7 linked regions of the Cricetulus griseus genome follow. The protein of the gene in region 5 interacts with the protein of the main gene of each other region in a biochemical or structural test. Links are inferred from orthologs where the notes say so. Each region holds a gene or a part of one and is shown on either strand. Other genes may lie near its edges. The genes, in order: Nhlrc1, E3 ubiquitin-protein ligase TRIM69, Mylip, Prpf19, ubiquitin-conjugating enzyme E2 D3, Hectd1 and Ube3c.

Region 1 (3,991 bases), on a different chromosome or scaffold from region 5:
ATGGAGACCAGAAGGGGACACTGGAATTCCTGGAGCTGGAGTTACAGGTGGCTGTGAACCACCCAATGTGGGTGCTGGGAACTGAACTCATGTCCTCTAGAAGAGCAGCAAGTTTTCTTTACCACAGAGCCATCTCTTCAGTCCCTTTACTTTCCATCTTACCTGAGTCTGGAAGACACTGAAGGAATCACTGGCCTAAACTTACCTATACACTCACAATCCCCTTCACAGCTCTCTGCAACCCAGCCCTCACCCGGGACCATTAGGCCTTTGGCAAGGAGACTCAACCATTTGTCATATAGAACCATATATTTGATGATCAGTGCCAGATAGTGAGAGGTCCTGTAGTCAAACTGCCTGGCTTCCAATCATTGCCAAGCCTGTTCTTCATCCAAGCCACTCCCATTGCCCACGAGGCTTGAATAAAACAATGCATGAAACCACTTCAAAGAATACAGCTATTAACTAACAGTTTTGTTGTTGTTGTTGCTTGTTTGTTTGCTTGAGACAGGTTCTCACTACAAAGCTCTGTCTGGCCTGGAACTCACTATATAGACCACCATCCGAGGCAACTAACAGCTTTTAAATATTCCTTCCAAACAAACCCATTTCACTTGTATTCTTTTGTTTGTTTTGGGTTTTTGTTTGTTTGTTTGTTTGTTTTGGGTTTTTTGGCGGGGTTATGGGAGGATTGAGACACTGTATGTAGCCTAGGCTGGCCTCTAACCACTAGTTTCTGCCTCCACAGTGCTGAGATTTCAGCTACCATACCCAGAGGCGCTGCGAGTGTTAGTTGTCTACCTTCTCACAAGTGTGATAAAACACACCAAAGAAGTTTGCACACCTGACTCACCCACTTGAAGTTATCTTCCTTCATGCATCACTCTCCTTAGTCGACCCATACTAGGGGCCTGTCTTATTCCTGCCCAGCCCTGGCAACCAGCACCCAGCGTAGCTGATTGGCAGCTCTGCTGGGTATCAGCATTGGGAGCGTAGGTTCTGGTGCTCGCCCTGCCACTTACAGGCTCACAGGGAGTGACGTGTCGTGATGATTCCAGGTCTGCGCACGGCGCATGCGAACGACTGCGGCGTGTGCCCGCCAGGGAGCAGCAGCGCTACGCGGGCCAGGCGCTGAGCCCCGCGTCAGAGCGGATGCCCCGCCCCGTGACCGTGACCGTGCCCGAGGGCTGCGCGAGGGCTGCGGCGCGGCGCTGCAGGAGCGATGGGGGAGGAAGCGGCGGGGGTGCGGCCCGAGCTGGTGCGCGAGGCGGAGGTCAGCCTGCTGGAGTGCAAGGTGTGCTTCGAGAGGTTCGGCCACCGGCAGCAGCGGCGCCCGCGCAACCTGCCCTGTGGCCACGTGGTCTGCTTGGCCTGCGTGGCCGCCCTCGCGCACCCGCGATCGCTGGCCCTCGAATGTCCCTTCTGCCGGCGGGCCTGCCGAGCCTGTGACACCAGCGACTGCCTGCCGGTGTTGCACCTTCTGGAGCTCCTGGGCTCCACTCTTCACGCGTCCCAGGCTGCCCTCAGCGCTGCCGCCTGCGCGCCCGGGGTGCTCACCTGTCAGCACGCCTTCGGCGGGTGGGGGACCCTGGTGAACCCCACGGGGCTTGCACTGTGCCCCAAGACCGGACGGGTGGTGGTCGTGCACGACGGTAAGAGGCGGGTCAAGATCTTTGACTCCGGAGGAGGAGGTGCACACCAGTTTGGAGAGAAGGGAGACGCAGCGCATGACGTGAAGTACCCACTGGATGTCGCCGTCACCAACGACTGCCACGTGGTTGTCACCGACGCTGGCGACCGCTCCCTCAAAGTGTTTGATTTCTTCGGCCAAATCAAGCTGGTTGTGGGAAAACAGTTTTCCCTGCCTTGGGGTGTGGAGATCACCCCTCAGAATCTGGCCCTGGTGACCGACGCAGAGGCAGGGACCTTGCACCTGCTGGAAGTAGATTTCCCCGAAGGGGTCCTTCGGAGGATCGAGAGGTTGCAAGCTCAGCTTTGCAATCCCCGTGGGGTGGCTGTGTCTTGGCTCACCGGGGCCATCGCGATCCTAGAACACCCCTGGCCCTTGGGGACAGCAGGTGACAACACAAGGGTGAAGGTGTTCAACTCCACCATGCAGCTGATTGGCCAGGTGGATAGCTTCGGGCTGAACCTCCTCTTTCCTTCTAAAATAACTATCTCAGCTGTAGCCTTCGATCACCAGGGAAATGTGATTGTAGCAGACACCTCTGGGCCAGCCATCATTTGCTTGGGGAAACCCGAGGAGTTTCCAGCCCTGAAGCCCATGGTCACTCATGGTCTTTCTCGTCCTGTGGCCCTGGTCTTCACCAAGGAGAATTCTCTTCTTGTGCTGGACACTGCATCCCACACTATAAAAATCTTTAAAGTGATGGAGGGTAACGGAGGGTGATGGGATCTGAGGCCTGGTGTCATCAGGAGTGAATTGCACCCTGGATGAGTCACCATCACTCATTCGCCCAGGCAGGAATAATGGTAACTGCTTGACAGAAGTGTTGGGTGTGAGGCAGTTATAAAGGACTACTCATTAGACTTGTCATTTAGTGGATGCCTAGTCCCAATGTTAAGGAATTTGCAGATCTTAGTTCATTTGCCCCTTAACACACAGCGATGTGATTTCTATTATTAGTCCCATTTTAGAGACGAGAAAGCAGATCCAGAGAATTTAATATGATATTTTTTCGAGGCATATTTACTGGGACAGTCACAATTAAACTCAATTCTGACTCCAAATCCCTTGCTCTTAAATATGATGCCAGATGTTTTTTTTTTTTAAAAAAAAGTGAGCATGTCTTAGATATGCTCTCCCTACAAGTAACTCAATAACTGGTTGTGTGCACGAAGAAAGGGGTCTCCATGGAGTTCTCAGGAGAAAAAGGATTCTGTGTGGGTGTCATCTGGGAGCCCTCCCCAATGGCAGAGTAGATGGATCGTTACCAATACCAAGAAACACAGTTGAGCTCTTTCCTTATAAGGCAAAGGTTGCTTGGTTGGTAGTGTATGCCAATAATCTCAGCACTCTGGAAGGTCTGGAGTTCGATCCTATCTACAGCTACCTAGTTTGAAGCTTGTGCTACATGACAATGTTTTTTGTTTGCTTGTTTTGTTTTGTAAATTGGTGTCAGCGTTTCCTCCTCCACAGGCACAGGGGGACATCCCTGAGTGATGGTCTGAGCAAAACCTGTAGAGCCACTGTCTGCTAGTGGCATGGACAGATGAGACTTCTGTTAGGAGATGTCGCCCCGACATATTCGTGGCAGGAATGAATTTGTTTACTGTGTGGTAATCTGTGCCGCCTAATGTGCTTTGTGATGAAAGTTTTCTCTGTGCACTTTGAAATGGGAGTCAAACACTGTCTAGTCAATAAACAGTTAGTTCCCTTGTCATTTTAGAGCTCTGTAAACATGTCTTGCACTGAAGCATAACCTTGGCCCACATAAGGGCTCCTTAATGCTGCAATTAAGGAAAGGAATAGGAGGAAATTTGGGGTGAAGTGTGGATCCTCTGTATGTTTTATTTATTTATTTCTAAGCAAGTGTAAAAGTCTTCGTTGTTCGGGGCTGTTGAAATTATAGCAAAATAACGTAAACCTCTACAGCAGCAGGGAAATGTTTTCTGGGGGATGCTCTCGGAAAGTGACAGTTTGCTGCAGATAACAACGGATGCTTTGTCAGCAAAATGGTATTCTTTTATACAAAGAGGCTGTTTGTTTTTGAGACAAGGTCTTGTATATCTTAGGTCGGCCTTGGACTTGTTCTGTAGCCAAGGATGACCTTCAACTTCTGATCCTCCTGTATCCATCTCCCAAGTGCCAGCTTACAGGCACTGAAACGCCCAGGGTTCTGTGGTGCTGGAGGTAGAGGGAACCCAGGGCTTCCTACATGCTAAGCAAGCCCTCTGCCAACTGAGTTACATCATAGCCCTCCAAAGAGTTTTAAGAGAGCTGTATCCACTGAAGACCACCTCAAAAAGT
Region 2 (3,977 bases), on a different chromosome or scaffold from region 5:
ACTAAAGAGCAGCGTATGCAGAGATAACAAGGGCAAATGGTATAGGGAGGAAACTATATAGATGTAGTGATTTATTAGATAAGAGGAGTGATTTGTAGTATCAGGTTTGGGTTGAGGAGTCTGGAGCCCAAAAGCTGGAGAAAAGCTATCAGCATTTAGATGGAATTTAAAGCTGCAGGGGGCCAGGGAGATACTGCCTAGAAAGTATAGAATGAGCTTAGGACAGAATACTAACTAATTTTAATATTTAAAATAAATGTGGTTAGAGGTAGTGGAAGCAATTATACTGGGAAATCCTGAGAAAGGTGAAAGGGAAACTGGAAACACATTGGTTAGAAGAACAGTTAAGACTATGTTAAGAGCATGATAATGATTATCCATGGAATCTAAGTTACATAAGACAGGCCATGAAGGTAGAAGTTGATTAATAGAAACAGAGGGGGTCAATGATTACAAACTCACTTTGTTGTTTTCTTGAGACAGGGTCTCTCCATGTAGCGCCACTGTCCTGGAACTCACTATGTAGACCAGGCTAGCTTCAAACTCATAGAGGTCTGCCTGCTTTTGCCCCCTGCCCCCTCCACCAAGAGCTGGGATTAGAGCCATGCACCACCACGCCCAGGTTGAATACAAACTTTCATTGAGATTCAACAGTGCTACAGTAAGGAGCAAGTGAACTTGGAGCAAAACAGTTATTTTGAAGATGATACATTCTCTGGGAATGATATAATTCTATGTGTGATTGGGAATAATTGGAGAAAGCTGTAAGCCATTATAAATGAAGACAATAAGGAACTGATAAGCCAGGATATATAGAGTTCACCAGGGAGGAAACTGTAGACACACACACACACACACACACACACACACACACACACCTCACATGTACAAGCTGCAAGTATCACAATTATCAATTTAGCACTTTACACATTGTTCATATCCTGTTTCTTTTATGTTGTACTGGCAGCAAGAGCAGCTCTGGTTTTGAAAGTACAGTTCCTCCAGGCTCCTTATGGCCCTAGTTTAACAACATCACTTGGTAGATGCTGTTTTGCCAATCTAGGAAGGTTATTGTTAGTATTAATTTTAGAATGTTTAGTCAGGTGCCTTTAATCCCAGCATTCCAGAGGCACAGGCAGGCAGATCTCTGAGTTCAAGGCCTGCCTGATATACAGAGTGAGTTTCAGGACAGCTAAGGCTACACAAAGAAACCCTGTCTCAAAAAAATAAAAACCAAATAATAATAATAAAATTGTTTTAGAATGTTGGATCGACTCTGAAACATTATTTAATAGAGCACTGTTTATTATCCAAGCACTGAGAAAAAACTGAAAACAAAACCTTTCCTTTTACACCATTAAACTAGCCAGGAAAGAAGGAATAAGCTCTGTTTAGTAGGATTGAATGTTGATGCTAAGCAGCCATTTGTTTGGAAATTTCCAAGGTGTGTTGTGGGATGCGAGCCCCTGTTTCTAAGTGCTAGTCTCAGTAGTAATTGTGGTGATGATTATGGAGGTTTCCAGGACAACAAGATACAAATGCAACAATACCTTTCCTTGGAGTTTCTAAAGCTGCATCAGTTCCTGCACAACAAAGAAAAGGACATTCTAAATGAACTCCGGGATGAGGGGAAAGTCTTGAATGAGGAGATGGAGCTGAATCTGAATCAGCTTCAGGAACAGTGTCTTCTTGCCAAAGACATGCTGATGAACATTCAGGCACGGATGGAACAGAATTCCTTCAACTTCCTCAAAGTGAGATTCCACACCGATTTGATTATGGGTACACGTGAAGGAGGGAAGAGGGCCTGGACTTGTAGAGGGAAAGGAAGCAAACCCTAACCAAGTTCAACCCCACCCAATCCACCCCACCCCACCCCACCCCACCCCACCACAACCCAACCCACTGCAGTGCTTTAAGATCCTCTGTGAGAAGCTGCTTTTGTTCTATGTTCAGTAGAAAACTGTGTTTCATCTTCCTATGAAACACGATTAGTACAATTTCATCAATAATGTTATATGAATCAATATTTTTATTTTCCCATAAAGAACCTTGTAGCTGGAGTTACAGTTAGTTTTCAAAAAGTATGTATCTGATAGCCGTTGTTGAGTTTGGGGCTTACAGAAATCATAAAGAGAACTATTTAAAAATCTTTCTGTCAAACTTTGCTACCTGAAGTCTCACCTCTAAAACAACACTGGTGATCACTTTAGTACTCACAAGTTTGGTCACCCTTGGCACTGGAACTGCTTCTAATCTTTTCTTGTGGGAGTATTTAGAAGTGCTCACTTAAAAAAGAAAAGTTGACCTTGACTATCGATTTACTGGCTCCTCTCCTATATCTTAAAGAGCTGGAATCATAGAAATCAGTAGGTTAGCAAATGAGAGGACAGCTATCATGGGTTAGATTGGGTGCTCATTAGAGAAAGCCTGTGGAGGATGAAAATTGTTGTTGGAGATGGACTGAGGATCACATGCACAGAAAGCCAGGATTGATGAGTAAACCTGGATGGTGATCAGAATAACCAGACAGATCTCTAGAGATGATAAACAGACACCTGACAGCTCTATTTCTCCTTTTCTCTTTAGGACATCACAACGCTCTTAGATAGGTAAGTGCTTTTCCATGGTACTCTATCCCCTTCCTTCTGCCCCTGGAGGATGTCTAAAAAATAAACTATTTGTGTCCCTTACAGCATGGAGAAAGGAATGAGGGCACTCTCACCCAGACAGCTTATCTCCAAAAAGCTGAGCCCAGGCCGCTTCAAAGGTCCCATCCAGTATATGATCTGGAAGGAAATGCAGTCCATTCTCTGTCCAGGTATAGTGGGAAGTAGCTACTCATTCCTATGGCCCCTAATCTACATTTCATCTGTGGGGCCTCTGCTGTGTCCCGTTAGTTCTTTAGCTTAAGACTGGATGAAAATGGACTTGGGTGGAGTTTTAAGATTTATTTCTGTATTTTATGTACATGAGTGCTCTGTCTGCATGTACTCCTGCATGGCAGAGAGGGCATCAAATCTCATTGTAGATGGTTGTGAGCTACCACGTGGTTGCTGGGAATTGAACTCAGGACATCTGGAAGAGCAGCCAGTGTTCTTAACTGCTGAGCCATCTCTCTAGCCCTTTGGTGGAGTTAGTCAAAAAGACTTTTTCTTTTTCTCCAGCTGCTATGATCTAAGAATATGTGTCTTTGAACTAACAATGCATGATAATCTAGTATTAGAATCACTCTTCAGCCCATGCTTTTGTTTGCTCTAGCATGTGTAGAAATGGCCACAATATTATCCTGTTTTGCTGCATCAGTTGTATGATTCTCTGGAGTGTCTCTGCTCTGAAGGCATTTTCCATACATACTCCTTGTATATATTTAGTCTTTATAGGTCTTTTAGTGCTTGACAGTCATAGCATAGAGCACAATATCCTGAGAGTGTTAGAGATCAACAGTGCTTCGACAAAGACCAATTCTTCAGAAGAAAAGCTTATCTAATTTCAGTCGATAGTCTAATAAGCATGTTTTTGTGTTCTTATAAATATCAAAGGACTGAACAGGACAAAATAACACAAGTGGTATTTAAAGAAAAAGAAATAATATTCTAGATAAGATGTGTATAGAAATAAAAGTTTAGATAGCTTTCTCAAAATTCCTATAGATGTTATTATTGTTTGTTATTGATTTTAACTAGGTTTAGTTAAAATCATAAATATATCCCAGTCACATTTTCAGGTGACTAACACTGAAAGAAAACAACTTCAATGAAGTATAATTATATATACCCAGTGTATAAACAGATTAGTTTTAATAAACAGGTAAATATCTCTGTGAGCAAGATACAGATAGATGGGGGCCAGGGAGATGGTTTAGTGGATAAAGTGCTTGCTGAACAAACACAAGGACCTGAGTTTGAATCCCTTGCACCTATGTAAAAAGTGAGGCATGGTGGCACACAACTGTAACCCGGCACTGGGGATGGAGT
Region 3 (3,500 bases), on a different chromosome or scaffold from region 5:
CCTTTTATTTGGGAACTTACCAACACAAAATAGCCCACACAGATAAATGCCCTTATATGAAGTTCCATAAATAACAAGGATCTCGAAAGTGCCTGACCTTTTAAATGTGCAAATCTCCTACAGTAAAAGTTTAGCATGTTTATTGGTGTTTGCTTCATCCCAGCAAGAAATTACAGCAAGAAGCCTAGCTTAGCCACTCAGTTACCTAGTCCTGTGTAACAGGCTAACCCCAAACTCAGCTTAAAACAACAGACATTTTCTGAGAATGCATGGACAGGGAACCACTATGGCTTGAGGGCATACCAAGCCCCAGAGGTCAGTCTCATCTAAAAGCCCAGCTGAGGGAGGCCTCTGGGTCCAGGTGAATCTTGGAGCTTCTTGGCCAGTCTCCTTCCCTTGCCACTTGACCACAGGGCCCTTTCATGGTATGGTAGCTGGCTCACCCCATGTGAATGATTCAAGAGCAAGAGAGAAGAGTCCCGCCTTCATGACTCTCTCAGAAGTTAGTCATGCCAGGTCTTTCATGGTTTTCTGTTCATTAGCAGCCAGCCGTTAATCCAGACCATACTGAAGGGAAGGCTACATGGGGAGGCCAGATCACCAGGGAGCACAGGAGAAACAGCCTTGCCACAACATAGAATAGAGATCTGTGTTTTCTTCGGTTGCAAAGAATCTAATCAGTCAGTCCCCTGTGCTGCTAGCTTATCAGGAAGTTTGTAAAGTCTGTGTAGATAAATGTATGAGGGGATCTAGCCTACACATTTGTCTTGTGTGTATGCTGAGAGATTTTTCTATAATTCTGTCAGCTTACCAGTGGGTTCTCAGTATTTGTTGAGATCTTTTCAAGAAAATACAGTGTGTGTGTGTGTGTGTGTGTGTGTGTGTGTGTGTGTGTGTGTGTAAGAAAGCTGATGACAGTGAGTTCTTTCCTGCCATCTGTGTGTTCCAGGGATCCAATACAAGTACCTTTACCCATTGAATCATCTCACTGGCCCCATAGGTGAGCTCTCGAACAGTGTCTTAGAAATATTTTATAGTAAGTGAAATAGTAATACGCCATTTGGTGTTTTTGTGATGCATAAATGACCACATCCCTATATTTCACTAGTGAAAATTATAAGCTTTGAGGAATGCATGAGCTGATCTGCCTAAATTTGCACCTTTGAATGTTCTACAGCATTGTTGCAAAGCATAAGGAGCTGGAGGGCATCAGCCAGGCTTCGGCAGAATACCAAGTTCTGCAGATTGTGTCAGCAATGGAGAACTATGGCATAGAGTGGCATGCTGTGAGGGACAGCGAAGGGCAGAAACTGCTCATTGGGGTTGGACCCGAAGGCATCTCAATCTGTAAAGATGACTTCAGTCCTATTAACAGGTAACCCAAGTCTTTCATAACACACACACACACACACACACACACAATCATAAGCATGTATATCATCGGTTGCTTTGTTCTGAAAATAGAAAATGGACAGAAATTCACCAGACACCTCTATCAATAAAGTGATTCATTTTTTAATTTATTCATTAATTGCATTCAAGCCTTGACTAATTATTCCTTAAATGCTAACTTAACGTATACTAATGTGGCAGAATTATTATTTTTCATGCCATAAATACCTGTGTCTGCTTCTGCATACCCACACACACATCAAGGGCACTCCAACACGGTCACCATGCCACACTGCTTGTCCTCTGTCAGCGTAACTAGTTAGAATCATCATAGAACAGCATAGGCTAAGTGTCTGGTTCACTACTGATCATGGCCAGCCTACAAAGGCATATCAACATCATGCTGAACTGTCCCTTCTGAGCTGGCTCACTTTTCTCCTCCTGCCTTTCAGGATAGCTTATCCTGTGGTGCAGATGGCCACCCAGTCAGGAAAGAATGTCTACTTGACCGTGACGAAGGAGTCTGGGAACAGCATCGTGCTCCTGTTTAAAATGATCAGCACCAGGGCAGCCAGTGGGCTCTACCGGGCCATCACCGAAACGCATGCATTCTACAGGCATGTACCACCATGTGTCTCCTGAGCTTCGGTCACAGCTTAGTGTGTTTAGGTGTCTGGCAGGTTGCTGGGATTTCTCCTATCCCTGAGTCCATGAGCTTTTACAGACTATGAGGGAATAGCTACTCTGAGCCTTCCTTTTGCAGTGCTAGTGGCGCCCTTATGGGCACAGAATGGTGTATACCTGTGCCTCATTTACACTCTCCTGTTTATCGCTCATTTCCTTCCACACCCACCTCCCAGCATAACCCCAGTGGTTGGCCCTGTTCTGCTATGACTATGTCTTTTCCCAGAACAGTGGCACAGGTCTTTCTCTGCTGAGAAAGTCCCTGTCCTCAGCCCTCGCACATTACATACTCCGGATACTTTTTAAGTTTCATTTTACTTGGTGTTTTTGGAGACAAAAATCTCACTGCATGACCAAAGGTAATTTGAAATTCATTATACACCTCAGGGTGGCCTCAAACTCAACTGCAGTCCTGTAGTCTCAGCTTCCTGACTGCTAGGACTTCTGGCATGCACCACTACACCTGGCCATGACGAAGATTTTTAAACAACATTCTAGAGGGCACTTTCAGGCTGAGTTGTGAACAGGTTCACACTTAGAAAAAAATTAAAGAGAAAAATGTAGTTTGCAGGAAGCCTTTAAATTTTGTTATGTTAAAGGCCGGGCGTTGGTGGCGCACTCCTTTAATCCCAGCACTCGGGAGGCAGAGGCAGGCGGATCTCTGTGAGTTCGAGACCAGCCTGGTCTCCAGAGCAAGTGCCAGGATAGGCTCCAAAGCTAGAAGATAGAGCACTAAATGTCTATTGGCATACTGTTTTTATTAATAACGGTATCTGACAGTCTGAGTTAGGCTTTTCAATACTAAATCAGATGTTCACTCTCATCTTCAGGTGTGACACGGTCACCAGTGCCGTCATGATGCAGTACAGTCGTGACTTGAAGGGCCACTTGGCATCTCTGTTTCTCAATGAAAACATTAACCTTGGTAAGAAGTATGTCTTTGATATTAAAAGAACATCCAAGGAGGTATATGACCATGCCAGGAGGGCTCTGTACAACGCCGGTGTTGTGGACCTTGTCTCACGAAATGACCAGAGCCCTCCCAGCTCGCCCCTGAAGTCCTCTGACGGCAGCATGAGCTGCGGCAGCTGTGAGGGCCTCAGCTGCCAGCAGACCAGAGTGCTGCAGGAGAAGCTTCGCAAGCTGAAGGAAGCCATGCTGTGCATGGTGTGCTGTGAGGAGGAGATCAACTCTACCTTCTGCCCCTGTGGCCACACCGTGTGCTGTGAGAGCTGTGCTGCCCAGCTTCAGGTAAGGGGTCACAGCCCTCCCGTCTGTTAAGAAGGCTCCAACAGGTGCACGATACACAGAGTGGAAAGCAGCCTTCTGCACCTGGGAAGGGTCTTTATGTGCAGCGACTTCACCCATTGTGCCCTTTAGAAACCTGTGGGTCAGCACGCTCTTGTCACCACTTGGTTTCAGAA
Region 4 (3,500 bases), on a different chromosome or scaffold from region 5:
GGATTACAAGTGCCCACCAGGCCTGACTCTTTGGGGGGATGAACACAGGGCTAATGTAAATGCTGTACCACTGAGCAGCCCCCTCATTTCTTGCCAGCCATATTTCATTTGTGAGGAGCAGGATGGCAGCACAAGAGGAGCCTGCTTGTTGGAAGTCTTGCAGACCTGGATTCCAAAGTTTTCTCCACTGTCAGCCTTTGTGACTTGGGGCACACTGCTCAGTCTCTGAGGCTTGACCTTCCTGACTATAGGACATTGATTAGTCCTGTCTGTCTGTACTCTGTAAGAAGTAGAATAAAATTGACAAATTTGCCTTGTGACGTCAGGGACTCTCTTTCATTACTGAGCACTGCACTTGCTGAGGGTAGCTAGTAAATAACCACAGCAGCATTATTTCCTTTCAGAGAAGTGATGGCATTAACATATGTGCTTTACTGCTGAAGTAAAGCAAAGCTGGGGGTTGGAAGGAGCCAGATCTTGCTTCTGTCTATGTGTCCAGGGTGTGGTGTGGAGTAGGAGCCTGAATGCCTTACAGGGCATTCAGGGTCACTCATATGTTAGCTTGGGTCTCTGAGTAGTTCAGGTTGGCTTCAGTGTAGAATAGGAGGTGGTGTCCTCTTCTCCAGGGCTGGCCGAGTTCTCCAGCTCTCCCCCAGTCCTCACAGTGGCCTACCCCCTCCCAGGATGCAGTCATGCTGCACAGCTTCACCCTTCGCCAGCAACTGCAGACAACCCGCCAGGAGCTGTCCCATGCTCTGTACCAACACGATGCTGCCTGCCGAGTCATTGCCCGTCTCACGAAGGAAGTCACTGCTGCTCGAGAAGGTGTCTCCTCTTCCCTGCTGTTCCCTACCCTTTGCTGGCTCTGCTTTGTAATGTCCCATTTCTAACATCATCTTTTCTCTCAGCTCTGGCTACTCTGAAACCACAGGCTGGTCTTATTGTACCTCAGGCCGTGCCAAGCTCACAGCCCAGTGTTGTGGTAAGTGTTCCATTCCAAGCCCCAATAGCTGTCCTTACACAGGTGCCTTTGGTATTGTGAGTTCCTCCCATTCTCCCTTTCTTTTCTCCAGGGTGCAGGAGAGCCCATGGATTTGGGTGAGCTGGTGGGAATGACCCCTGAGATTATCCAGAAGGTGAGTCATATGCTCTTTTGCTGGGAATGCCACATGTCCTCCTAACTCAGTGCCATGGGTCTTGGGGCTAGAGTAAGAATCTCACCCTGAGCAGTGGAAAGCCTGCCCTGCCACTCTTGAGTTTTCTGACTAGGCTGACTTTAGCCTGCCTTTCTCTGTCTCATTTTCCTTGCTTCTTTTTTTTGTTGTTGTTTGTTTTTGTTTTTTTGAGATAGGGTTTCTCTGTGGCTTTGTAGACTGTCCTGGAACTAGCTCTTGTAGACCAGGCTGGTCTCAAACTCACAGAAATCGCCTGCCTCTGCCTCCCAAGTGCTGGGATTAAAGGCGTCACCACCGCCCGGCTCCCTTGTTTCTAAATAGAGTGAGGTATGCACTTCACAGGCTTGTTGTAGGGAAGACTTAATTACTGATAAGGGCAGCTTATAGCTCTTGCTGTTTTTGTGGTCTTTGCTGATATTAAACCACTTTGTGACAGGTTTTGCTTACAAGATAGAAGTTATCTTAAGATGAGGAGTCTGTGACTGTAAGTCATAGCTGAGAAGGGGCAAGGCAGGCTTCCAGACTGCATCGCAGGGTTCTGTTGAATGTACAGTCTGCATTTGTGGGGTCCAACAGTGTCTGAGTTCTAATTTTTGTACCTTAGACCTGGTCCCAGAACACAACAGCCTAGCTCTGTCCCTACTAGTTCTACCATTTGTCACTTTAGTAACCTTGGGTGGGGGGAGGTGAGTCTTTTGATGTTCAGTTTTTTCAGTTGTACCATAAGGTCATGGATACCTCACCTTATAAGACCAGAGTGGAAATGTGTCAGCTTTAGCACATAACCTGGCAAATAGCATGTTTTTGGTGATGCTTATGATACCAGATGTACCAGCACCCAGCGTGCTTTGTCCTTGCAAAATCATTTCTCAGAAAATTGTTCTCCACAGCTTCAAGACAAGGCCACTGTTCTAACCACGGAGCGTAAGAAGGTGAGTTGACCCCTGGTGTGAGCATTTGGCTTTTTGGAGGAGGGGCTAGTTGAAACCTATATTCAATTGCTGCTCTTTGGGGTCTTTTCTGTTTTCTCAGAGAGGAAAGACTGTGCCTGAGGAGCTGGTGAAACCCGAAGAGCTCAGCAAGTACCGGCAGGTGGCATCCCATGTGGTAAGTAGCTGGAGGTGACTCTATTTCTAGGGCAAGATGGGCCAGCATGAGGAGCAGGGGCAAATGCTGCTCAGGCCTCTGACATGGTTTCTTGCCATGCAGTGAGGGAGTTGCTGCATCCAGGCAGCCAGCCAAGCTGGATGGATAAGGGATAAAATTCACTCTTGTTCCTTGCCTGAGGAGGAATACCAAAGGGTATAGGGAGTGGAGGAGCTGTGTGGCTCTCTGGTCTGCCTTGATTTGGCTGTGACTGGATTTTGTGTGGTTCTGTCTGCATAGGGGCTACACAGTGCTAGCATTCCTGGGATCCTTGCTCTGGACCTCTGTCCTTCGGACACCAACAAGATTCTCACTGGTGAGTCTGAGCCTGGCCTGATAGGTCAAGGTGGGAGATGGCAGGAGCAAGGGAAGGTGCAAGCCCCTGGTTCTCTGCATGGATTTGAGGACAGAAAGACCTTCTTTAGCACTGGGATCCTTATAGGCCTGATTCATTTTTTTGTCTTTTTTTGGATATTTTATAGGTGGGGCAGATAAAAACGTTGTTGTCTTTGATAAGAGTACTGAGCAAATCCTGGCCACTCTTAAAGGCCATACCAAGAAGGTCACCAGCGTGGTGTTTCATCCTTCTCAGGTAAGGTACTTTCACAGCCACCCTTGTCCTTTCCTAAGTCCTGTTCCAGTAGTTTTGAGTTTCAGAACCAATCACCCAATCTCTACCTTTTTGATGAACTGAACTGGGCATTGATGGGTCTCTGTGTAGAACCCCAAAGCTGTGGCCCTCAAACCAAAGGAGAAGGAAAATGCAACCAACAAAGCACATTCACATCAATTTTGCATTAGGAAAAGAAAACAAACATCCTAGAGCGTTTATAGATAAACTACAGACAGTAAAGCTCTATATAGTCCTGACTGCTAGGTGTCTGTTCCCATGACACCCTGTGTGGTTGGGTTCAAAATTAAATGTTGGCTGTTGAAAGTGGTGTGAGTTCAAATAGAAAAGAGGATAAAGGTAGCTATTAGAGGAGATTAATGGTCTCATAAGAGTTGAGTACTGTGGCTTGGTATGCAGCTGCATGGGGTGCTGAAACAGTGCCTCCCAGTTAAGTCTTTCTCTTAGACTTAAGGAACTGAGAAATAGAGGACTATTTGTGTCTTAGTGCTCTTTTGCTATGAAGAGACACCATGATCACAGCAACTCTTAATAAAAGAAAGCATTTA
Region 5 (4,118 bases):
AGGGTGAGCCTGAAGAGAGAACAATGGGTTGTTTTCAGGGAGGAGGAAGTGTCAGAGGTGGCCAGGAGAGCATCATGTGCTCAGGGTTTTACTAAGTCAGAAATGCTCAAATTATTCCTATCACTTGGGAGCTTGTTGTAAATGTATAATCTCGGGCTCCTAGTCAGGCCTAATAAATCAAAATCAGCATTTTAAACTAAACTACAGGTGATTCCTATGGACACCAGTTGAAGCAGCTGTATCCCACCGATTGCTCTAGTGACATTTTTAATGTATAAGCAGCTATATGTGTATATATATATACACACACATATTACACACCCTCATTCTTAGAATATATATTAGATCCTTCATCAATTTTTATCATTTAATTAGGGACTACTGTCTGGAACAAGTTTTCAAAATTCAAGCTATTTCCATGTAGTCCTGCAGAATTTCACTTCAAGTGGGGTTATTCATGGGTGCCAGAAAACCCTAAAGCAGGTCCATCCTTTCTGCCTTTAAACGCCTTTTGAAAACTAAAGGCTTAGTTCTTTTTTTTTAACCAAAGAATACACTAGATGACAAACGGCCCTCTACACCTTAACCACGGCGGCCCAAAATCAGGGCAGTGGTACACTTGAGAGATCTCACCCCTGAATGTAATCCAGACTGATTCCCTAATGTTTTACCACTTTGGGGCTCAAAAACTGCAGCAGCACCGGGAGAAAGAAGATCCTCAGGCATTCCTTCCTCTGGCTGTTCCCCACCTGACTGCCTGACGTCGGGACTCTAAGCAGCCCGATCACAATTAAGCCGCATTGTTAAGGCTACGCTAACGCTCGCCCCTCGGGCCGCGCGCGGCTCACGCGGGGCCCACGTGGCGGTGCGAGCAGCCCTCAGCCTGGATCTGTTGTAAATTACCGTTCCCAACCTGAGGGGAGCCTCCTCCCGCCGCTTAGCCCTCTGCGAGGAGCCCGGGAAGAGAGATCTCCATCACCTGGGCCCCCGGAAGCCCGGAGCCCGCTCCACCTTCGCTAAGGCACCGAGTCACCCCGCGGCCCCGCCCACAGCCCGTCCCCCATTGGACGCCCGCGAGGGGGCGGGGCCAGCGCGCGCCGGCCGCACGCACGCACGCCCGCCCGCCCGCCCCTCGCTCGCGCCCGCCCGCCCTCGCCCGCCCGCCCTCGCGCCCGGCCGGCCTGGGGAATTCCATTTCCTCTCCCGCCCACCAGCAGAAGCACTCAGGGGCGGTGCTTTCGGCCCAAGGCCCGCCCAGTGAGAACCTGGGGGGGAGGGGGGCGTGGAGAGTGCTACCGGCGCCTCTCGCGATAAGTTGCGGATTTGGGGGCGGGCCCCAGCCAGGAAGAGAGCACAAAACTGCCCTTAAGTCATTGCAGAGCCGGAGCTCCGCTGAGCCGGCCACGAGGTTCTCGCGAGATCCGCCGCCTCCGCCATACCAAGTGAGGAAACCAGGGGGCCGCGGTAGGGAGGGGCGCGGGGGCCTCGACCGCGCAGCTGCCGCTCCCATCCCCTTCCTCCCGAGGTCTCCTTCCGGTTCTCGATGCTTCTCTGAGTCTCAGGGTTTCCGCCGCTCGCCTACCCTCCCCTCGGCCCATGACCCGCCTCCGTCCCCCGCCCTCCCGGCCCGACCTCCGAGCAGTGGAGTGAGAAGGTGCTGTGCGGTCCGGCCGGGAGGCGGCAAGCGGGTGGCTGGCGCGTCGGCTCGGGCCCGGAGGCAGGGAGGCAAACCGCTGCCCTCAACCCTCGCTCGCCTCGGCTCGGCTCGGCTCGCCCCGCGCGCGGCCCGCGGCTCGCGCTCGCGACGGCGGCAGCGGCGGCGGCGTTGGCGGACGGATACGCGGCGGTGAATAGGCGGGGGGAGGGGCGGAGCGTGGCAGCTGGCAGTAGTTCCGTCAGAGCGAGCGGACATCTTGTGGCTGTGCCGTGCGCGTGAGCCCCGTAGGGCCGGGGAGGCACCAGCTGCCGCGCGGGGAGGAGGCCGAGGCCGAGGCCGCAGCTCGAGGGAGGCCCCGGCCCCTCTGTACGCGTGGGTGGGGACGGCTCGCTCGGCCCGAGGGAGGGCGAGCGGCCGGGGGCCGGCGCGGCGCGGAGCGGCGCCCGGGGCTGTGGGCGGCCGAGTGGGCAGCCCGCGGGCTGGGGTGGGGTAAAGGGGGGAGGCCGGCGCGGCCGGGGCGGGCGGGCGGGGGGGCGAGAGGGAGGACGGGAGGACGGGCGCGGGGGGGAGACAGGGGCGCGTCCTCCCTCGCGCCGGAGCCGGAGCCTGGCGGCCGCCGCCGGCGGCGCGTGGTGGTGAAGGAGGAGGCTGGGCGCGCGCACGTAGGAGCGCGCTGTGAGGCGGAGAGGAGGGAGGCAGTGTCAGGGGCGACACGGAGCAGCCCGAGCCGTGGGCACGGCCGCACACGCGAGCCCGCCGCCCGCACGCCCGTCCGTCCGTCCGCCCGCCCGCCGACCTTTGGAGCGGAAACGGAGAGCAGCCCGGCGCCGCTCCGGAGCCTCCCGCTCCCCTCCCCCTTGCCTTTCTTTGCCCCGGTGACGCCGGCCCAGCGCCGGCCGGTCCGGCCAGCCTGCCTGCCTGCCTGCCTGCCGACTAGGCCCCGGCTCCTCCTCTGCCCGGCCCCGGCCCCGCACCCACCCCCTTCTCCTCCGCCTCTTCCTCTCCCACCCGGGGCCCTTCCTTCCGAGAGGCCGGGAAGTTAAACTCGTAACCTCTTCCCGTCACCCTCGCCCTCTGCGGGGCGAGCCGCCGCCGCGGGGAGAAGCAGTGGTTGGTGGCTTCGCTACCCCACCCCGCCCTGCCCGGATCGCGGCGGTTTGCAGGGATCTCGGAGTCGGCAGGGTTTTCTCCGCGGCCTCTGGCGAGTGGCTGATCTGCTCCGTTTTTGCAAAAAAAAGGCGCCTGTGTCTGGCAGAGCCGCTGGGAGGAGGAGGAGGAGGAGAAGGAGAAGAGACGATCCATCCTCGCCGCTGGGATAATCAAGAGTTTTCGGCCGGGCCTTTGAGTACACATCGGGATAGTGAGGAGCCCGGCGAAAAGCACAGACTATGGCGCTGAAACGGATTAATAAGGTAAGTTGTTGGGACTGACTAATCCGGACGGGGGGCCCTGGGAAGCCAGGCAGGCAGGCAGGCAGGCAGGCAGGCTCGGGCCCAGGGGGAAGTGTGGAAGTGGGGTGCGAGTGTAGTTTATGAGATGAGTTTCTTTAAGTTGGGGGAACTGAATGCTTTTGGCAAGCGAAATGTTAGACCGAATTTCTCACAAGAATTTGTAAATTAATGGGTGAGAGCGTGGCTTTCAGGCACCTCGGTTTTGTGCCTCACGAAGAGTTAGTCCGGTTTGGAAAGTGGAATTGTGTAGAAGCCCTCGGGCAGATGGCATAGTACTGCTTTCCTATTCCTGGTTCTTCAAAACTTATTTTAGGTGTACTATGCTTATAGGCCTTCTAGGAAGAAAAGGAAACATGAAAAAGAAAACATTTTATTCCGAACTTTACTGAGGGTCAAGGTATTATAAACAAACCTCGATTTGCTAAAAGGTAGTGACGAAGTCTGTCCAGAAGCTTAACCCAATCTGGGCAGTTACACAAGACCAAGTGGGGTTGGGAGGAGGTGGACTGACACTGTTGCCACTTCCTGTGTTGTGTGGTCGCAGCTTGCACCCGAAGCTATTTATCTGAGGCACGGGAACTGATGTAAATGCCTTTAGGAAGATCCGTCCGGGGTGGGGGGGTGCTTGACAGTGCAGGAACACAGGATGGACCCACTGCTTTTGCTTAGGACACCCCCTCCCCCCTCCAGCCTTGTTTCAGCAATCCACTATAATTTGATAATTTACGCTGTCGGTTTCAGTTGGGCAGAAGCTAGGATTTTTCGGAGGTCTAGTGTAAGAAGAACTACCTCCTCCGGTGGTTTAGTCTCATTTTATTGCTCTAACTTCTATCCCGCATTTTAAGATGGCGGCTGCTTTAACTGGTTCGGGTTCTTTCCGACACCATCCCTTTTTCTAATAATAGGAAATAATGTTCTCTGTTAACGTTAACTGTTTTTTTTATATGGTTGTAGGGAGTTCTAAGGGTCTCTGCCTCCAAGACTTAACCTAAATTCAAACTCTTGAGACT
Region 6 (3,500 bases), on a different chromosome or scaffold from region 5:
AACACTTTCTGTCTAATATATTTATAGGTCAACTGCAACTTGGCCACTTGACCCAGCAAAGGATGAAAAGCAGGGGTGGCGACATGTGAGGATTAAACAGATGGGGAAGAATGCCAGTGGACAGACACACTACCTCTCGCTCTCTGGATTTGAACTCTATGGCACTGTAAATGGAGTATGTGAAGACCAGCTAGGTAATGAGAGGACATGAGATAGTTTTCCAAGTTTCCATAACTGTTTATTAAAAGTGACTTGGTTTCTATCTCCCTCATTCTGGTCTCGTAGGGAAAGCGGCTAAAGAAGCAGAAGCAAATCTTAGAAGGCAGAGGCGCCTTGTGCGCTCACAAGTCCTCAAGTACATGGTTCCTGGAGCTCGGGTTATCAGAGGCCTTGATTGGAAGTGGCGAGATCAGGATGGCAGCCCGCAGGGAGAAGGCACGGTCACTGGCGAGCTGCACAATGGTGAGTGGGTGCTAGCTCCGCTGGTGGTAAAGCCATGTGCTAAAAAATATGTCTTCTCTATTTGGATCATTTGTCAGTTGTGTGGCTGTATCAGACCTTTGTAGAAGAACCAATAAAGATAATGATTCCACATTAAAATGAAAACATAAAGCTGGCCATCGTGGCATACATCTTTAATCTTACGACTCGGAAGGCAGAGGCAGTGGATCTCTCCCGAGTCTGAGGACAGCCTAATAGTTCCAGGCCAACCAGAGCTTCATGGTTAAGATTCTTTGTAAAAATTAATAACTCCTTTACTTAGAGAACATCTTGGATTTTGACTAGAATCTGTTTGCTAATATTGTAGAGTGATTATTGAACTAGTACAAACTAAATATCTTCAAGATACATTTCTTCTACTGTTCTCAGGGTACCAAGATTTCCTTGGTAGTTTCAGGTAGTATTTTTTTACTTTATTAAAGACATGTAGGAGAAAAAAATTAGTGTTCAATAAAGCAAAGAATAAGGACTATAGTTTCTTGATTTCTTGAGTACAGGGGTGCTCAGTTTGCCAGCCTCTGGAGGAGTTTACACTGCCTTCTTACACTTTACACTAACTGTACAAAAAGAGTACATTCATTTTAACCTCTGTGCTGTAGATTCTGAAAAGTTCTTACCAAAATAATAAACTGCTGTTGACTCCCAAAGTAGCTTTCCTGCCAAGTTTTCTTAACATTTAAAAGGTTTTCTTAGTAGCAGATGATTTGATTAAACTTGATCCCCATTGGTTATACTGAGCATTAAAAAATGTAAAATGTTTATATTCTTGTTTCCAAATATTTAAAGAGCTAGAATAAAAATGAAGGGGTTGGGAATTTGGTTCAGTTGGTAGAGTGCTTGCCTGGTGTGCATGAAGCCCTGGGTTTGGTCCCTAGCCCCACATATCCAGGCCTGGTTGTGTTCTGGGTTAGAGACCATTTCTCTGAAAATAAAAATTCAGAAGATAGACCTTAAGAGAATAGTTAACATTTGATTTTATAATGTATTTTCTTTAATGTGATTAAAAACATTTACTTTAAATAACTTTAATAAATTAGTCAATTTTACTGTTTTAAGGTTTCTTTCCATTCCTTGAAAATTGCCACAATTCTAAACACATTTCTATAGCATTGAACCCTAATTGCAAACAACTAAAAACATAAACAGGTTTGCAGTGAGATAAAATGTATAATGCCAGCAATGGTTGAGATAACAAGAGAACCAATCAGATAAGAGATTTAAAACATTACCATTTTTTGGTATCTTATTCTTGTTAGTGAGTTCATATTCTCTCTTATAAAGTGAAGTGTGTTGTGTGGCTTACTAAGAGGATGGAAGCTAGTGACATGGATTCAGCTAAAATAAACACATAAGAAAATTAGAATCTTCATTTCAGAACTTAGAACTCCAGAAAGACATGGGTTTCTGATCCTTCAAGTGTTGCAATTCAGTTTTGGCTTTAAACATGGCAGAGAGAGTTTTTATATTTCGTATATAATTCCTGCAATAGGTAATTTTTTTAAAACTAATCCTGTCTTTTTAATCTGTGTTTGAACATAGGAATAGTTGTTACATTTAGGTATAGTATATGTTCATCTTTTGGAAGCTTTCTCAAGCCTAATATACCATTTGGTATATTAGGTATAAACTAGGTATATACCTAATAAACCATTTGGTTTATACTTTTTAGTATATTCCCTCATTAAGCCAGTTATAGCCATTGCTTTTCTGAAGAGTTTCTATGTTGGTAGAACTATCCACTTACTCACTTATTCCACAGAATTCTAAAGGTACTTAGTTAAACTTCATCAGTGGTCAAGGCAAAATATGATTCACTGCCTTCTGGGCAAAACATGTTAATATTATATAATGTTATTTTTATTTATAATTTGGGCATTTCAGTATATATTGGTATCAGTATAAAACAAATATCAACTTTATTTCATATTGGGATGATATTTTGAACCTTTCCTTAGGCAGAAGAGGTAGTTATTTTGGCATACAAATGTAGATTGGAATGAATCTTAAGCTTGTGTAGAGGTGGTTCAGTGCTTCTCTGAGCCTCATCAGAATGTGAAATTAGTGTAGCTGGTTGTGTGGTGTGTGTGTCAGTGCTCAGGTGTGCTGGACCTTACACTGTACAAGTTCATGTATTCCACATGTTAATGTGTGTTCCCCATGTAGTTCGCTCCTAGGAAAGTAAGACTGAAATCTCTTATTAGCTTTCTCCCGAATCAGTCATTTTTTTGGTTTGGAATTTTATATAAATATTTTTTTAAAAATTTAAAATAAAAAACTAGTAATTTTCAAATAGAAGTAAATATAGATTAAAAATATTTAAGATTGTTACTAGCGTTAGTTTGCAAATTTTAAAAGAGCTCAACCTGATTTTAAATTGGTTCTAAGATGTGTTTGTGCTTATTCAAATCCAGTAAACTTAACCATAAGAAAATTAAGTAGCCTCTAAACTTTGAGAACACAATTGAAATGTCAACTTAGTATTTTGAGTGAGTAACCTAAACTTTCTGAGTGACACAGGAATGTTTTAACTGTCAGTTTTAGTCATATTTAACAGTTCAAAAATTTTTACTTGTTGAAATCTCAGTATTTTTCTTTTACGTTTAACGAAATTGTTCCTGCAGTTGGATGTAGCCTAGTGGTAGATGCCTGAATGTGCTAGGCCTTGGATTCCACCCTCAGCACCATTAACAACAAAAAAATGTTTCCCCACTGTAACAGAATAGATGTAGAAAATACTTGCACACCTTCAAGGCTAGCCTGGTCTACAGTGTGAGTTCCAGGACAGCCAGGGCAGAGTGAGTTCCAGGATAGCCAGGGGCTACACAGAGGAAACCCTATCTCAAAAAAGAAAAACAAAAAAAGACTATCAGCAGTCTTGGGTTGTCCAGAGATAAATGGATTATGAGAAAGAACTTTAGAGGTATCCCAGAACCCTTTTATGTAGTGCATACTTTTTCCTTAGTATTATTTTGTAAGGATTAAGTAGTATAGACCTTCAG
Region 7 (3,500 bases), on a different chromosome or scaffold from region 5:
GTGGTGTGTGCTTTTAGAATGTGTTGGAAAAGACTGGAGAGTAGTGATAGCTGAGTCTGACAGGTGTGGGCTATAGGATAGCCAGAACAAGCAGTAGAAAGCCTGGGACTCTGATGAAGGTGGCTTCAAAACACATGTGAAGCCACTTGAAGTGAAAAGTTTAGAGAGAGAGAGTGTGAGACCATCCACCTGGATAAGATTCGATGGATTGTGTGAAAAGTAATAAAAGACTGGCTCTTTGAGGGCTGCTGAAAAGAGCAGAAGGAACCAGCTGATTAAAACTGAGTGAGTACTTTCTCATCTGAGTCTCAATGAGTTTAAAGCCAGATTCTCAGATGAGTATGGGTCAGGTCTTAGTGTTTCAGTGTCAGGTTGGTTGGGTGTTGTAGCTGAGAAAATCTACTTCCTCTTCCTTAATGAAATCTTTGTACAGCCTTCTTAGTGCTTGGTGGGAGCCATGGCTTTGCTCTTAGGCCTCTGCCAAGTAAAGCAGCAGCCTGTAGGAGCTGGGCAGGATGCTCAGAAGCCTGTTTGGAGCTATCTCAGTTATTCATTTTCCTGCAGCAGAGGAATGTGGAGTGGCAGAAGCATCCACAGAGAGAAAGATGAGGAACAGAGTGAGGGTAGTCATTGGGGAAAAAATCATGCCTGGTCGTTTGAGGAGTTAGCCTTGAAGGGAGAATTGCCGAATGAAGAAAAAGAATGTGATATAGCTTCAGGATCATGACATGTGGCCTTGGAAAGGTGAAAAGGCAGTTTATACATACTGTTAAGAGGTGAACATTGAGAAAATAGACAACAGATATGAGCCCATCTTTGAAAACAAAACCTCCCTCTGAATTGGATCAGCATATACTTGAAAATGCTATCAGTATTAGTTAGAGAAATAGAAATCCATGTTGTGATACATACTTACAGACTCAGAGTTGCTGAATTCTAATTCTTCCTACCAAGTGCTAGGATGTGGTGCAGTTGGACTCCCTCTCTCAGTGTCTGTGGGAACCTGGTGGCTTCATGTGCAACTTGGACCCATTTGTGATCCAGTAGTTCTGTATGTAGAAGATACCCAAAAGAGATGAGGCATAATACACACTGGAGCTTAAGAAAACACTCCTACCAGCCTCGCTTTGAGACACAATTTTCCCAACCCCAGATGTAATATTTTTACATGGGAGACTATAGTTCAGTGTGTTAAGGATTGAGGTTTGCAGGTGTATTATGTGATGAGTGTCAGAAAGACAATCAACAGGACCAATACTCTGAGCACACTGTATAACTTAGCTTCTTCTGCATAAAAACCCCAAGAAGTACAGTCTTATTCACAGCTGCAGAGACAAGTGGTAGAGTGGGACATGGAAGGAGGATTGACTGGAGACTAAGAACAGCTCCCCTTTCAAGGTTGTGCATCCCAAGTATGAGACATAGAACAGTGTATAATTGTGCTTCTACCAAGTCAGTTTTAAGGGAAGACTTGGAGGAGCTGGAGAGATGGCTCAGTGGTTGAGTGCTCACTGCTTTTGCAGAGGACTGGCATTCAGTTCCTAACACAAAACCACCTGTTACTACAGTTCCAAGGAATCTGACATCCCTCCTTGGGGATAGGATACGGGGTGGTGGGGGCAGGGGAGGAGGGGAGGGAGAGGGAATTGGGATTGGCATGTAAACCAAGCTTGTTTCTAATTTAAATTTAAAATTTTTTAGGGGCATAGAGCCCATTTTTATTTTTTAAACTCTGTTTGTTTATTTATTTGGGCTTGTTGAGACTGGGTTTCCCTCCATATAGCCTCAACTGGCCTGGAATTCAAAGAACTCTGCCTGCCTCTGCTTTCTGAGAGCTAAGGCTTGTGCCACTACACCTGGCTGGAGGCTGTTTTAAAATCAGACTGTGGTAGATAAGACTCCTTTTGCCTCCTAGTAAGAGGGGAGGCTTCAGTCAAGATAATTCAGAACCAAAGAGATCATGCTGTGGTCTGTACACACTTGATGTGACTGTTTTGCAGAGCCACTTTTCCCAGAAAGCCTTACCCAGTTGAAAAATGCAACTTTTCTTGCAACAATCAGTGGATTATGGTTTTCTTTCTCTGTTTGCAATCTTTGGTTGTCCTCTGCTGTCTCTTTCTGAGAATGTATATTTTTCATGTCTATCTGCTAAAGGGTTACTGTAGACACATAATAAAAGACCCAGGAAGTCTGAACATTGTTGCTTGAGCCCTGCCTGTTTTCTGAGACCCTGGCAGTGGTGCAGTGACTCACATGCTCATCACAGGAACTGGAAGAGTCAGGGAAACTGACAGTCCTGGCTTTATAGTAAGTGTGTGAATTTGTTTTTACAGGTTGCTGCAAAACTGCAGTGATGACAGTTTAAATGTCGCACTTCCAATGCGAATGCTTGAGGTGTTTTCATCTGAGAATACATACTTACCTGTTTTACAAGATTCTAGCTATGTGGTGTCAGTGATTGAACAAATTTTGCACTACATGGTTCACAATGGTAAGTGGCTGGGGCAGACCTGTGGAGGTGGCGTTATTGTGGAGGCAATTGGCCTGTGTGCTGCTGAGGGAGGTACTACTATGAACAACACACTGTGATCTTCACAACAGAAGCTGTGTGAGCCTTCTGGGAGAATGACAGCAGCCTCTTGAGTCTTGCATTGCTCATAGCCTCTGAAAATGCAGAAGCCTTTTTACTGTCTGTACTTAATTATTCTTTGTTTTGTAAAAGACAAGTTTCTTTGGCTAATCATAAAAGGAGCTGGTTTGAGGCCCGGTGTGGTCGCTCACACCTTTAATCTCAGCACTTGGGAGGCAGAAGCAGGTGGATTTCTGTGAGTTTGAGGCCAGCCTGGTCTACAAAGAGATCCAGGACAAACCCGGGCTATTAGACCGAGAAACCCTGTCTTAAAAAACAAACAAAAACAAACAAAAAAAGGAACTGGTTTTTGGCTGTTCTTGAAAGTAGTAAGTTAACTGTTACAGAGTGTAAATAACTTGTTTTATTGACGTATAAACGTATATAGATTAATTCTAGCTGATGTACATTAAAACCACAAAAATTAAGGTCTCGTGAATTTTTACTGTTTGTAGAGCTTAGTAAATGTAAAAAACTCAAAACTTAGTTTATTAAAAATCTCAGAAAACTACTGACTTCGTGAAAATTATAGTGAAATTTATACAGTTTGACCTTCTAAGAAATAGATTCATGATGGCAGTGAACTTGAGTGAACTGATGTGATGTACTGTATATATCCAATTCAGACTAAGCATTTGATGAGAATTTTATTTTTCCTGTTTTTTAAAACCATTAGGAAGATAGTCATGAGCTGTGCCTTCTATGAAATGTTTCCAAAAATAAAAAAAATGATTGAAAATCTTCCATCAAAATTGCTGCTTCTGTTGTGTTGTGCAGTGGCATGGCTGTTTTTCAGGTGTTTTAATGAATTATTTCGTGGTGTTTTTGCTGTTGTTGTATGTATAACCTATCTTTAAGTCACTGAGTCCAG

The links.
Region 1: the proteins of ubiquitin-conjugating enzyme E2 D3 (region 5) and Nhlrc1 form a complex in vitro, tested with the Homo sapiens proteins (2 studies listed by BioGRID). The link is inferred for Cricetulus griseus from reciprocal best matches to the Homo sapiens genes UBE2D3 and NHLRC1.
Region 2: the proteins of ubiquitin-conjugating enzyme E2 D3 (region 5) and E3 ubiquitin-protein ligase TRIM69 form a complex in vitro, tested with the Homo sapiens proteins (2 studies listed by BioGRID). The link is inferred for Cricetulus griseus from reciprocal best matches to the Homo sapiens genes UBE2D3 and TRIM69.
Region 3: the proteins of ubiquitin-conjugating enzyme E2 D3 (region 5) and Mylip form a complex in vitro, tested with the Homo sapiens proteins (2 studies listed by BioGRID). The link is inferred for Cricetulus griseus from reciprocal best matches to the Homo sapiens genes UBE2D3 and MYLIP.
Region 4: the proteins of ubiquitin-conjugating enzyme E2 D3 (region 5) and Prpf19 form a complex in vitro, tested with the Homo sapiens proteins (2 studies listed by BioGRID). The link is inferred for Cricetulus griseus from reciprocal best matches to the Homo sapiens genes UBE2D3 and PRPF19.
Region 6: the proteins of ubiquitin-conjugating enzyme E2 D3 (region 5) and Hectd1 form a complex in vitro, tested with the Homo sapiens proteins (2 studies listed by BioGRID). The link is inferred for Cricetulus griseus from reciprocal best matches to the Homo sapiens genes UBE2D3 and HECTD1.
Region 7: the proteins of ubiquitin-conjugating enzyme E2 D3 (region 5) and Ube3c form a complex in vitro, tested with the Homo sapiens proteins (2 studies listed by BioGRID). The link is inferred for Cricetulus griseus from reciprocal best matches to the Homo sapiens genes UBE2D3 and UBE3C.

The regions. Positions count from the first base shown.
Region 1 is NC_048596.1:266,724,138-266,728,128, reverse strand, and holds Nhlrc1 (E3 ubiquitin-protein ligase NHLRC1), read left to right. Parts: upstream 1-1,222; coding exon 1,223-2,410; 3' UTR 2,411-3,491; downstream 3,492-3,991. UniProt on the Homo sapiens protein: E3 ubiquitin-protein ligase. Together with the phosphatase EPM2A/laforin, appears to be involved in the clearance of toxic polyglucosan and protein aggregates via multiple pathways.
Region 2 is NC_048599.1:56,257,241-56,261,217, reverse strand, and holds the start of E3 ubiquitin-protein ligase TRIM69, read left to right. Parts: upstream 1-1,177; 5' UTR 1,178-1,538; coding exon 1,539-1,754; intron 1,755-2,589; coding exon 2,590-2,612; intron 2,613-2,696; coding exon 2,697-2,821; intron 2,822-3,977.
Region 3 is NC_048596.1:265,123,190-265,126,689, forward strand, and holds part of Mylip (E3 ubiquitin-protein ligase MYLIP), read left to right. Parts: intron 1-1,177; coding exon 1,178-1,375; intron 1,376-1,844; coding exon 1,845-2,009; intron 2,010-2,906; coding exon 2,907-3,327; intron 3,328-3,500. UniProt on the Homo sapiens protein: E3 ubiquitin-protein ligase that mediates ubiquitination and subsequent proteasomal degradation of myosin regulatory light chain (MRLC), LDLR, VLDLR and LRP8. Activity depends on E2 enzymes of the UBE2D family.
Region 4 is NC_048596.1:49,553,014-49,556,513, reverse strand, and holds part of Prpf19 (pre-mRNA-processing factor 19), read left to right. Parts: intron 1-626; coding exon 627-825; intron 826-908; coding exon 909-982; intron 983-1,073; coding exon 1,074-1,136; intron 1,137-2,065; coding exon 2,066-2,107; intron 2,108-2,207; coding exon 2,208-2,282; intron 2,283-2,561; coding exon 2,562-2,637; intron 2,638-2,803; coding exon 2,804-2,913; intron 2,914-3,500. UniProt on the Homo sapiens protein: Ubiquitin-protein ligase which is a core component of several complexes mainly involved pre-mRNA splicing and DNA repair. Required for pre-mRNA splicing as component of the spliceosome.
Region 5 is NW_023276806.1:24,045,351-24,049,468, reverse strand, and holds the start of ubiquitin-conjugating enzyme E2 D3, read left to right. Parts: upstream 1-1,318; 5' UTR 1,319-1,442; intron 1,443-1,525; exon of another isoform or gene 1,526-1,654; intron 1,655-1,884; exon of another isoform or gene 1,885-2,023; intron 2,024-2,895; 5' UTR 2,896-3,045; coding exon 3,046-3,069; intron 3,070-4,118. UniProt on the Homo sapiens protein: Accepts ubiquitin from the E1 complex and catalyzes its covalent attachment to other proteins. In vitro catalyzes 'Lys-11'-, as well as 'Lys-48'-linked polyubiquitination.
Region 6 is NC_048598.1:150,519,516-150,523,015, forward strand, and holds part of Hectd1 (E3 ubiquitin-protein ligase HECTD1), read left to right. Parts: intron 1-27; coding exon 28-194; intron 195-285; coding exon 286-462; intron 463-3,500. UniProt on the Homo sapiens protein: E3 ubiquitin-protein ligase which accepts ubiquitin from an E2 ubiquitin-conjugating enzyme in the form of a thioester and then directly transfers the ubiquitin to targeted substrates.
Region 7 is NC_048601.1:93,184,146-93,187,645, reverse strand, and holds part of Ube3c (ubiquitin-protein ligase E3C), read left to right. Parts: intron 1-2,333; coding exon 2,334-2,491; intron 2,492-3,500. UniProt on the Homo sapiens protein: E3 ubiquitin-protein ligase that specifically catalyzes 'Lys-29'- and 'Lys-48'-linked polyubiquitin chains.